3 linked regions of the Rattus norvegicus genome follow. The main gene of each other region encodes a partner of the protein of the gene in region 2 in a complex. Links are inferred from orthologs where the notes say so. Each region holds a gene or a part of one and is shown on either strand. Other genes may lie near its edges.

Region 1 (3,651 bases), on a different chromosome or scaffold from region 2:
CATGCGTGTGCGCGTGTGTGTACAGGCACGTGTGCGTGTGTGTTTCAATTACTTTTTTTCTTTGGCCTTTGCCACTGGAAATAATTTCCCATACAAGGCTATACCTACGAGGCTGTTTTACTGTGTCACTTACATACAAAATAGGAAAGTATCAATGCTTTCACGAATAGGGCAGTAACAGAAGTCCCGGACTTCCAGTTTAAGGTGGGACACTATAAAGCCACTGGGACAAGAGTTCTGAAAATCTCTAGGAGGCATTTTCACTGCATGCCTCACAGGCGTGATGTGGGGAGAGCGCTGACTTCACACCATTCCCCAAACCCCTCAGCAGAGGAAAGTCCATTTTCTCACCTCCAATTAATTCAGGACAACAGAAAACATTTGGAATGAGGCATAGACTCACTTTTGAATTGTGCATGCTCAATACACCTGATGTCAACCCTAAGGCTTACCACGGCTGGAGGGATTTTCTGGGCTTCCGTTCTCCATGTTGAAAGACAGGGCTCCTAAACTGCGTGTCCTGCTCTTAGACGCAACAGCTTTCTTGACTGAATTCAGGATTGCGATGGTACTCAGAGACATGGGCCTACAGAGACAAGATGGCAGAGCTGACTCCGAGTCAGACCAGCAGGGGGCATCGTTTCCCACCCACGTCTTCTCTTCCAGCCCCCAGGGAGGCTCGTGGTGTGAGGGGTTAGTGATGAGGCAGTTCTGGCCTGGTGGGAATGTGGAGATGCCGTGAGAATGCCACGACTGGGGCTGCTGCTGGCTCAGTGGGCTCCCTACCTGGTACTGGACATTATCTTCAGAGGTCCCTTTTCGCATATAGGAGGCAAAGTTGGTGTGAAGCTGGACCCAGGTGCTGAAGGCTGGCTCTGGGCCAGAGGCAGAGGCATGTTAGCATCGGCCTGGCCAGCACCAGCGGCGGCAGCAGCGCCAGGTACAGCTTGTAAGTCTGGAGCAACCTATCAGGAGAGTGCACAAGAGTATCACTGTTTGCTAGAAGTGCACAGGCAGTCCACTCTACAGCCAATGCACAGGGACAGCCACACAGATGCCAGGCAGGCTGGTCTCTCAGTTTTTAATACAGCACATCTACTTGGAATCCCCAAGCTAGAATGTGAGCTATACTCAGAAACGCTCTGGCAGACAATAAGCTCTTCAGGGAGAAACAACACATAAGACTCGGAGAGGTGCAGGAGGTGGCTACGGAGCTCACGGCACAAACTCCTGCTTTCCGAGGATTCCCACAATTCTCCAGGCAAAGTTGACTGGGCTACTGGTGTGTCCATCCCCACCTGCTGGGAGGGGACCCTGTCCCCGTCTGCAGGCACGTTGGTGGCATTAGCATGCTCCGTCAGAGCTTGCTCCTGGGCCAGTTGTTCAGTGTACTTCTTCATGTCATACTCAAGCTCAGACGCCAGCTGTCTGTCCACTGCAAAGAAGTCTTTGATCTCATCGCGGTAATCCTGCATTACTTCCTGAAACAGACCCAGAAGCATCCTTTAGTGCCTTTTTCCATAAAAAGCGAGGCCTTACTGGTATGGTGCACAACTCCAACTCCAAAATGAGAGCTGGTGAGCCTGGAGGGCAGGAGTTGCAGACCGCCCAAGCCGCACGGCAGCCCCTTTCCTCCCCGTCATGAGAGTTTCTCTGTGTAGTTCTGGCTGTCCTGGAATTACTCCACAGACCAGCCCAGCCCCAAACTCGGAGATCTGCTGCAGGTCACTCAGTCCCAGGACATTTTCCTGGGACACTGAGCACACAGGCAGGTGAGCACGACACTTAGTTTCTGCTTACGGCTGTGGTCCCACCAGAAGGTGCCTGTCTGACTGCCATGCTTCATGGGAGAGGACCCTGTAGAGGTCACAGAGGTTGTATAGCCTGGAAGTGACTCGTGTCCAAAGCAACGTTATCCATGGGTGCCCGGGGCGTGGGGTGGGGTGGGGGGGGAAGAGTATGTCACAAACAAAACAAAACCCCCAAATTCTCATGTTCTCTGTAAAGTGAGCTCAGCTCTCCTATATGATCTTCCTTAGGATGCAAAACTATCTGAAAAATTATATTTAGGATAATTTCGCTATAGCCCTTTAAGGAGCTTTTCCAATTTTTCAAAAAACCCTTTTAGGTCAGAGGAAAACTGACTGGTGGTGTGCGGGTTCTGGCGAGCACCGTCATCTGCTGAGCTATCTTGCTAGCGGCAAGTTTGTTTTTTTTGAAGAAAACCAAATGTGAACAAAGAAAAAGCTACTAAATTAAAGGAGAAAATATGCCATTTTTTCCTGAATGCTTTCTGTCAGACGCCCGAGGCTTTGCTCAGAGCTGTGTTATAAGCAAACACGTCCCAGCTTTGCAGCTCGCATGGTCCTCTGCTTTACAGACGACCCAGCAACAGGAGCTGTCTCAAAAAAACACCTTATCCCTGCATGCATGACACCGCCACGGGGCCGGGACTTCCTGCCTGCAAGTCAAACAGCCAACTTTAAATATGATGACCAATTTCCACCTCATCCTTACAATGTCTTGTCCTCAGCTTTAGTTGAGAAAATCTTTAGACTGGAACATAATCCCAAGGAAGGTTCAAAACACGAACATATGCTTTAAAAACTCAGTGGCCTGAGAAACACGGAGCACCTCAGTGGTACTTCTGGCCACACTTCAGTCCCTCAATGCCCTTGGCAGCCTGCTCGGTACATTTCTATAAACGAGGTTTCTTAGCACCGAGTTCTTGTCGTTCACTGTCTAGACTAAGCAATGAATCTGGGGCAGTGGGGCTTGGGAGGAAAACCCCACAGGGCAAGTTCCTCATTTACCCTGAGGTAGTTCATGAGTTCCCTTAAAGCAGGGATCTTATTTTTCTCCAGCACAGTCTTCAGGGAGATGATGATTGGAATAATATTCTCTATGAAATTCCTCTTTTGAACCTGCAGGAACACACACAAAAGCATGCATTAAATGCACACACATCTGAACATTAATTTTTCCTTCATCTACTTCTTTAAGTATACCAAATCGAGCAGCTACAGAAGCCCATCTGCCAGTTGACTAGAATACTGGGAGTGAAGAGCTTGCCTGGCTTGTTATCAGACTGTAAGCACCACAGCACATACAGGCCTGCACAGCAGAATGCATATTAACACCAATTCTATGTTCTAAACTAGAAGAAGGAGTAAGAAATACACTGAAGAACTTGACAAAAAGCTTCAATCTCTACACAACCCTGATGGACCCTGGGCTCTGATCCACTATGTATCCTTGCTTTTGAAAGATAATCTGATCATGTGACCACCAGAGAGATACATTATAATCTTGCATGTAGAAAGACAATGATCTGTAGTTGGGTAAGCGTGCACGTGTGTGTGTGTGTGTGTGTGTGTGTGTGTGTGTGTGTGTGTGTGTGTATGCCAGTGCTCCTGAATGCATACATGAATGGACACATGTGTCTGCCTTTACTATGTCTATGTAACTCTGTATAGTTTTTTTGAAAGTATAATGTACCGGGGTATGATGACCAAGCCTTATAATCCTGTGCTGACTCAGGAGGCAGAGGAAGGAAGATCAAGAGTTTGAGGACAACCTGAGCCAAATGGTAAGACCTTTTAAAAAAAACAGGCAAACAAACCAATGGTATGTGATTTAAATAATCAGTAC
Region 2 (3,651 bases):
CAGTGAATCCTAAAGGCATGGTTTACTTTTTCCAGTGTTTATCTAATTTGTTCTGACCTTATCTTTTCTCTTCTCCAATTCTTCTATTTCACAATTGAGAGCCTTTATCTTTTTTTCATTCTCTGACAGTACTTCTTGAAGCTTTAATATTTTATCCTGCATTTCCTTTAGCTCCCCAGCTGAGCGTTCCTTGGTATCTTCAGCCAGCAAAAACTGATAGGCAATATATAAACGGCTCAGATGCTCGATCTCACGCATCACTTTCTGGTACTCCAAGTAAGAAGATCTTTCCTGAAAGAAAAGTCACCATAAAGAGTGATTCAAATTCATACTTTTAAAGCAAATGTGGGGAAATTTTCACTACAGCAAACTTGGATCAATTTCTCTTTATATGATCTGACTTTTGTTTATCGTTAAAGACGTTATCTAAAGCATTTAGAAAGTATAACCTCAAAACTCTGGCTTTTAAGATAACATTATACTGTCTGTAGAGAATTCTACAAGGCCTTGTGTGCGTGTGTGTGTGTTTAAAACATGAACAAGCAGTCCATTTAACAAGGAAATGTGTTTTACGGTTCATATACTGGTGACAGCAGTCTACAAAGTGCATATAGACATCAGGGCACACTATTAAACATATTGGCAATAGTGTTCCTAGGATTCCTACAGAATGGCCAAGTACTACAACCACGTGCCCCACATTAGAGAAGCTGATTCACATAAGGACCCACAGAAGCAACGCAGCAACTAAACTGTAAGCTGAAGGTAGAGAAAAATTCATAGTAGCTTCACTGCCACCCCCTGCCACAGATTTAGAAAGAATACGACAAAAGTGGGATCTGAAGGTTAGGCTTAAACTTCTAATTTATAATTTGCCAATTTTTCGGTCTTCCCAAATCACCTACACAATAAAGTTAAAGAATACTAAATTTTATCAAGCAGTTAATAAGTCTTAGATGGGTAAAAACAATGTGTTCTACAAACATTCCAATACTGCCAAGTTTTAAGATGCTTGGGGTTGCAAATATATAGAAAGAACACAATCCTACCATAAGATGTTATAAATGAACTGTGATAATTACTGTGATAGCTACTATCATACTAGGAATTCACTCTGAAAAGATCAAGGTTAAGAATTCTATCTTTTAAAATGTTCTAGTCAATACTAAGTATCCAGTAAAAGTGGATTTGCTATTCTTCAATAAAGTATTAAAAGCTGTCATTAACATTTCTAAGATTATGAAGACTATTCTCCAATATCATTATGATTTAATAGAAGAAATACACATCCACTGCAAGGAGAAGGCTGGATTAGAGTACTAATTTGAATGCATTTCATCTCACAGAAAAATTCTCAAGTGGTAGACATTTTATCAGTATTTGTATAACAAGTACTTTCACTGATTCTGAGAACAGTTCCAACTATATATCAAAGAATTAGTATTACCTCTTTTAATTTTTGAATTGTTGGCGTAATCTCTTCTTCCAGTATCTAGAATACAAAAGAAAGCCACTATTTTCAGTAAATCAGGTGCCAACACAAAACACATCTAGGTGTCTGTTTTGTAAGACATGGAAAACAACTGAAAAGTAAAACATTTTCTTGATTCACAGCATAAAACTTCAAATCAAGATTCTTCTCCAAAACTATTTCATGTCTTTTTCAATTACCGTTTTTATTTCTTTCAGCTTAGCCTCCTTTTTTTCTATAGTTTTCTGGGCAGCTATTTTTTTGTACTCATACATCCTGGTTCCAGCAGCTTCTTCGATCATGGATAATATCTGAAACAACAATTGTATTAAGAATTCAAAGCAACGTCTCATTGGAATTTAAAATTAATTATAACAATACATTGACCTCAACAGAACTTTACTATGTAACATACACACACACACACACACACACATATATATAAAATATATTATATATTACATATATAGTATATCATAAGTTAACCAGATTAAAATATGTATGTCAATGACATTTAATTTAAAGAAATATTTATAGCTTCACTCTTGTTCCTGAATCAAGCCTTCTTCTACACTAATTTACCAATGTTTATCACTAAAATTCAAGCTGCTGACTCTTATTTTCCTTCAAATATAAGTATACAAAGGCAATTAGACTCTGTCTCTACCTTTCTCTGCCTCTACTACCCTCTTGACTCCCCTCCCTATGCCCTGAATAAACTCTATTCTATACTTAAAAAAAAAGGCAATTAAAGAAAAAAAAGTAGCCCCACTCAGCTTCTATTTTTTAAGTTTGCTCTTACAACTGTTTTACATTGAACTTCACTATTTTATTCCAAGGCTGAAGCATGGAATATTTGCTTACTGACTGCAGCACTAAGAGTTATGACAAGTAACTTTCTCTACACTTCCTTTCTCTATGCAGTGTCTGACACCATGTCTAATGACTAAACAAAGCAGTGAAAATGCATGCCAGCACCTTTAAAAACAGCTTCTATTCTTCAGTGCCAATCTCTAGAACAGTCTTTCTCAATCTTCCTAAAGCTATGACCTCTTAATACAGTTACTCATGTGTGGTGACACACAACCATAAAATTATTTTCACCGCTGTTTCATAACTAAATGTTGCTACTATGATGAACAGTAACATAAATATTACATAAAGTATCTGATTATGTGACCCCTGTGAAAGCGTCATTCTACCACTGAAAGGGGTTGCTACCCACATGTTGAGAACCACTGCTCTAAACGATTTTCTTTTTTTGTGAACCCATTGTAATTTGTACATGTTAGCCAGTTTTAACAATTTTTCACTAAACTTGCACCTGAGGGAAAGTAAACTTGACCTTATATACAGTAGTAAGGTCAATTACAATCTCTTTAACTCTTTTCAATAGCAAGAGTAAAAATAAAAGATTCACTTGATTATATCAACTAGTTTCAAGGTAACTTAAAATTTCTTTATTTCACATAATGTATGCTAGAAAAGAAACTAACTTCATATGTACTGTTTTTCTATCTGGTTTTTCCTTAGTAATTCATTCCAACATAGTTAGCTAGGCTGCTTTATACAGTCAAGATGTTTTAACTATGGACACAGTGCTAAACATGAAGCTCCCTTCTAATCCTTCTCGGTATTCTTACCTCTGGTGGTTTCATATTTAATACTTTCGTAATTCTGCCCTAAAAAGAAAACAGCAAATTTAATAACTTCAATGAGCCATAGAAAATGTTGGATATTCACTGTTTAAGTGGAAATGGCTGTTGCTCATCGGTGTGACACAAATTAAGTTATTAAATGATATAGGTTAACTCAGGACACGTCTGAGAAGATCAGTAATACAAATGGAGAAGGATGAGATTTTAAAACAGACATGGGCTTATTAAGTATTTCTTGATTTTTTTTTAAACCCTGCAAATATATCTTCAGAAAGTGGACCACCTGATTCCAGGTCTGAACGTGAAATTAGATCTGGCTCAGTGGCAGAAAATCATCAACTGCATTAATTTCCAAAACCAATCTCCTCAGGCCTCAGATTACAAGTCACGATGCAGAGGCACTTGATAGTAAGGTGTTAGCTTTGAGGCCAGATTACAGTGAATCTATTTTTATTTTAGATAGTTTGCATATGTCCCTCATAATTCATGTTAGGGACTCAATCACCAAAGGGACAAGGTTGG
Region 3 (3,751 bases), on a different chromosome or scaffold from region 2:
ACACAAGATTCCTGGGAGGAGTTAAAGGAACCCTAACTCATCCTAATCCCTACCCCCGATTTAACAAACAAAGAGCATTGTTTTAAACGTGGCTTCACCGCATATTAAGAAGACTTTAGGTAAGCAAACAAGCTATCTGTCTCTATGCTGTATCTGCTTCAACACCGCCCCAAATGGAGGAACGTCACCTGGCTCTGGCTATGGCTGGTGGAAGAGTCCTTGCCTAGCTCTTCTCCTTGGGTGGGCACGTGCTGAGAGAAAGGGAGAGGGAGGGAGGGAAGGAAAAAGGGAGAAAAGGAGAGAGGGAGAAAAATGGGAGGAGGGAAGGAGAGAACGCCCAGAGAGTGAGCTGACTTTGCTGTTTCCCAACAGGCGATACAATGCGATTTCAATGTGCACAATAAGATTTTATAGGCACACAGAAAAAAATAAAAGGAGACTGGGAATATAGAGCCATATAGAATTCTTGCCTGGCATGCACACGCCATGGCACAAGACTTATACCACAAAAGTAAACAAAGAGACCCAACAAACAAATGCTTGTCCACAGACAGCAGAAGGAAAAGGCAGTCCAAAAACTTTACAAGGGTATAGTTTACACAACTCTCATCCAACACCAAGACAAAACAAAAACGTCAAGAGAGCAGATGTGATGTTTTGTGGGCAAAAATCAAGACATTTGTAAATGTGGATAAGGAAAGGAATTGAGAAACTGGAAGCACTGAGGGATAGCTCTTTAAATCCACCACCCATTGTTCTCTGCAGGGGGCGGTATACATCTAACTCAATGGATTGTTACTGAAGTCAAGAGCACTTCCTGTGCCTGATTTTTCCTCCCACTCACTCAGCCCCTCTGCTCTGCTTCAGTTCTCAGCCTGAAGTGGGCACTTCAGGACTTGTCTCTTCTTCTTGAGCTGCTCTTGGCTCCTGTGATACCTGTAACTTGGGTTTTTTCCAGTGCCCTCCTCCCACCCGGCCACCTGTTGCTGGTCCTGAATGTACTCAATACAATGTCTGTCTGGTGTTCCCACCTGGACCCATGGCTTTACGATCCCCGAGATAGAGAAAAACAAATCTACCTCTCAGCCTATGGACCTCTGTCAAACTCATCCAGTAGAAACCCTCTCACCTGTGCACCTCACCTCTCCAGGAAGTCACAAGCAACAAATTCAAAATGAAACTATTATTAGAAAACTCTAACTTAGGCCTACCAGGTCCTGCCTGTTGTCAGTCTCACTAAGTTTAGTTATAATGGTCTAGCTCAGTGGTTCTCAACCTTCCTAATGCTGTGACCCTTTGACACAGTTCCTCATATTGTGCTGACCCCCCCCACCATAAAATTATTTTCATTGCTACTTCATAACTGTAAATTTGCTACTGTTATGAATCTTTTTTTTTTTTTTTTGGTTCTTTTTTTCGGAGCTGGAGACCGAACCCAGGGTCTTGCGCTTCCTAGGTAAGCGCTCTACCACTGAGCTAAATCCCCAGCCCCTACTGTTATGAATCTTAATGTAAACATCTGTTTTCTGATGATCTTAGGTGAACCCTGTAGAAAGGTCATTTGACACCTCCCCATGGGGACTGTCACCCAAAGGTTGAGAACATACAGTGTAGTAATTCCTAGACCAGTTCAGATTCCTTCCTGGCTCGTCCCTTGGACACGATGCTCCGAGCTAGCTCAAAGTCACTATAGCTGAGGATAACCTTGAATTTCTGATCCTCCAGTCTCCAACTCAAGTGCCCAGGCTTCTTCGGTTGCGAATTTCTGCATCTGACCAAGGTCTGTCCCAAAGGGAGCCCTCAAGACTTTTGAATCAGTTCCAAAAGACAGGCACGAGTGCTCAACACAGAACGGTCGACCCTATGCTTCCACAGCTCCCCACACAACGTCCAGTCCAGAACCACTCCCCCAACCTTTTCCTCCGTTGGAACCGGGGCGCGGGGAGCATTAGAGCCTGGCCGCCACTGGCAGCTGCACCCTGATTGGCCCAGCGCCCCGCTTTCCCTCGGCTTGTCTTCCCTTCCCCCTCCACAGCCCCCGGCTGAACCCCGCCGAACACATTCGTCCCTTCTGGACCTGCCCACGCGAGCACCCTTCGGTCCTGATCCTGACAGCCGCGCCTCGACCCACTCGAGCTCACCTGAGCGTGGGATTTTCATCTTGCTCTCCACGTCTCCGTAGTTAAGTTTTAAATCGTGAGCGCCAAGCGCGGTAACTGCCGCGTGACGCCCCTGGGGGAGTGGCCTTTGGTGCGCCTGCGCAGACCGCCCAGGCGGCTGATTAAAAACTGTGCCGGCGGGAAGTCCTTCATTGAAGTCTAAGCAAGTGAGCTTAGCTGCAGCGGTGACCTAGCTGATGACGTTTGGAAACGCTGGCGGCCGAGCGCTGGGCGCCGAGTAGGATGTGTAGATCTGGGCGGGCAAAGGCTGTACTTTCCTAGAATCTGGATTGTAATGGGGAGGCAGGTTTCTGAGGGATGGAGGTTCATTGTCTTAAAAGACATGTTCTTTGTGGGTAGAAAACGGTATCCTTCTTGAAGTTCCAGGCAAGCAAGAAGGAACGTAAAGCATTGTGTATGCATGTGTACACTCCACCCAGAGTATTGTGTATGTATACATCCCAAGAGCATTGTGTGTGCATGTGTGTACACACACCCCAGAGCCTTGTGTTGACACGTGTGGGCGCCCAGTACAGTTCATATACGTGTATACACTTCCAGAGAGCTTTCTGTCTGCATGTATGTGTACACGTCCATACACACACATATCAGAGCATTGTGTGAGCATGTGTATCTGCACCAAAGCATACATCTACACACATGCATGTACATACATTTGAAAACGAAGCTTTTGTCCAGATTCTTGTAAAAGGCTTTTTGGAGGCCAGCTGCCTACCACCCTTTTTTAAACGGAGGCCTGGGGTGTAGCTGTTTAACATCCTTTACACCATTTGCCTGCCTGCTTACTGTCATCGGTGCCCCTCATTTGGGAAACCAAAGCTCTGCCCTTTGTTGAAAGCTAATTTTAAAAAAAATTTCATTTGATGTGAATGAGTGTTTTACCTGAGTATGTGTGCATTTACTACATGCATGGCTGGTACCCAAGAAGACCGGAAAAGGCTGTCAGATCCCCTGGGATTGGAGTGACAGATGTTTGTGAGCCACCATGTGGGTGCTGGGAATGAAACCCAGGTCTCCTGCAAGAGCAACAAGTACTCTGGACCAACAAGCTACTTCTCTAACTCCCAAAAGCTTCTCTTGAAAGCTATTTAGTTTTTGCATGGATTTGCAAAACTACTTTGGAATGAGGCAGCCTGGTGTACCGGCCCCAGACCTTAGCAGCACTGACTCCATGACAATTTGGACTGTTAAACTCATCGTGGAGGTAGGAGCACCTGCCAAAGGGAAACAAAGACAGAATCTATCAAAGTCTCTAAATGTTCTAACCTTGCTTTTTAGCCTCTGTAGTTCCACTTCTCGCTAACAGTTCTCGTTAACTGAAGTGTGTCAACCCAGAACATGGTTTTGTTCTTAAAAGTTCACCATGAGAAAGGCTCAGGGCTACACTGGATCCTGAACACACAGTATAGGGCATCAGTCAGCTAACAAAGACCCACCTCCAAGCAGCCCTCTCTGGCGGACACCCCACAGCAGTAGATTATGGGAGAAAAGATTGGTGTTCCTCACCTTCCTGAATGCTCCTGTCAGCCACCAAGGACTGGACTTATCCCTTACTGAGCTTTTTGCCTCTG

The links.
Region 1: the proteins of Smc2 (region 2) and Ncapd3 are in contact, whole or in part, in a cryo-EM structure (PDB 9F5W), measured with the Homo sapiens proteins. The link is inferred for Rattus norvegicus from reciprocal best matches to the Homo sapiens genes SMC2 and NCAPD3. Residues at the interface, in NP_001036015.1 of Homo sapiens: Arg112, Ala122, Asn123, Asn124, Thr125, Arg126, Leu218, Lys222, Arg225, His229, Trp940, Asn942, Ala943, Glu944, Phe948, Arg981, Met985, Arg986; in NP_056076.1 of Homo sapiens: Asp31, Met72, Ile80, Pro127, Gly128, Ala131, Phe135, Pro137, Asp141, Lys235, Gln237, Gln240, Leu1121, Asn1196, Asn1200, Pro1203.
Region 3: Smc2 (region 2) and Ncaph share a complex: the UniProt entries of both Homo sapiens proteins name them as parts of the condensin complex. The link is inferred for Rattus norvegicus from reciprocal best matches to the Homo sapiens genes SMC2 and NCAPH.

Annotation. Positions count from the first base shown.
Region 1 is NC_086026.1:33,755,175-33,758,825, reverse strand, and holds part of Ncapd3 (condensin-2 complex subunit D3), read right to left. Parts: intron 2,925-3,651; coding exon 2,814-2,924; intron 1,482-2,813; coding exon 1,299-1,481; intron 966-1,298; coding exon 787-965; intron 587-786; coding exon 453-586; intron 1-452.
Region 2 is NC_086023.1:71,608,872-71,612,522, reverse strand, and holds part of Smc2 (structural maintenance of chromosomes protein 2), read right to left. Parts: intron 3,154-3,651; coding exon 3,115-3,153; intron 1,783-3,114; coding exon 1,672-1,782; intron 1,493-1,671; coding exon 1,448-1,492; intron 292-1,447; coding exon 58-291; intron 1-57. UniProt on the Homo sapiens protein: Central component of the condensin complex, a complex required for conversion of interphase chromatin into mitotic-like condense chromosomes.
Region 3 is NC_086021.1:134,850,272-134,854,022, forward strand, and holds the start of Ncaph (condensin complex subunit 2), read right to left. Parts: upstream 2,232-3,751; 5' UTR 2,161-2,231; coding exon 2,142-2,160; intron 1,989-2,141; exon of another isoform or gene 1,772-1,988; coding exon of another isoform or gene 1,705-1,771; exon of another isoform or gene 1,608-1,704; intron 1-1,607. UniProt on the Homo sapiens protein: Regulatory subunit of the condensin complex, a complex required for conversion of interphase chromatin into mitotic-like condense chromosomes.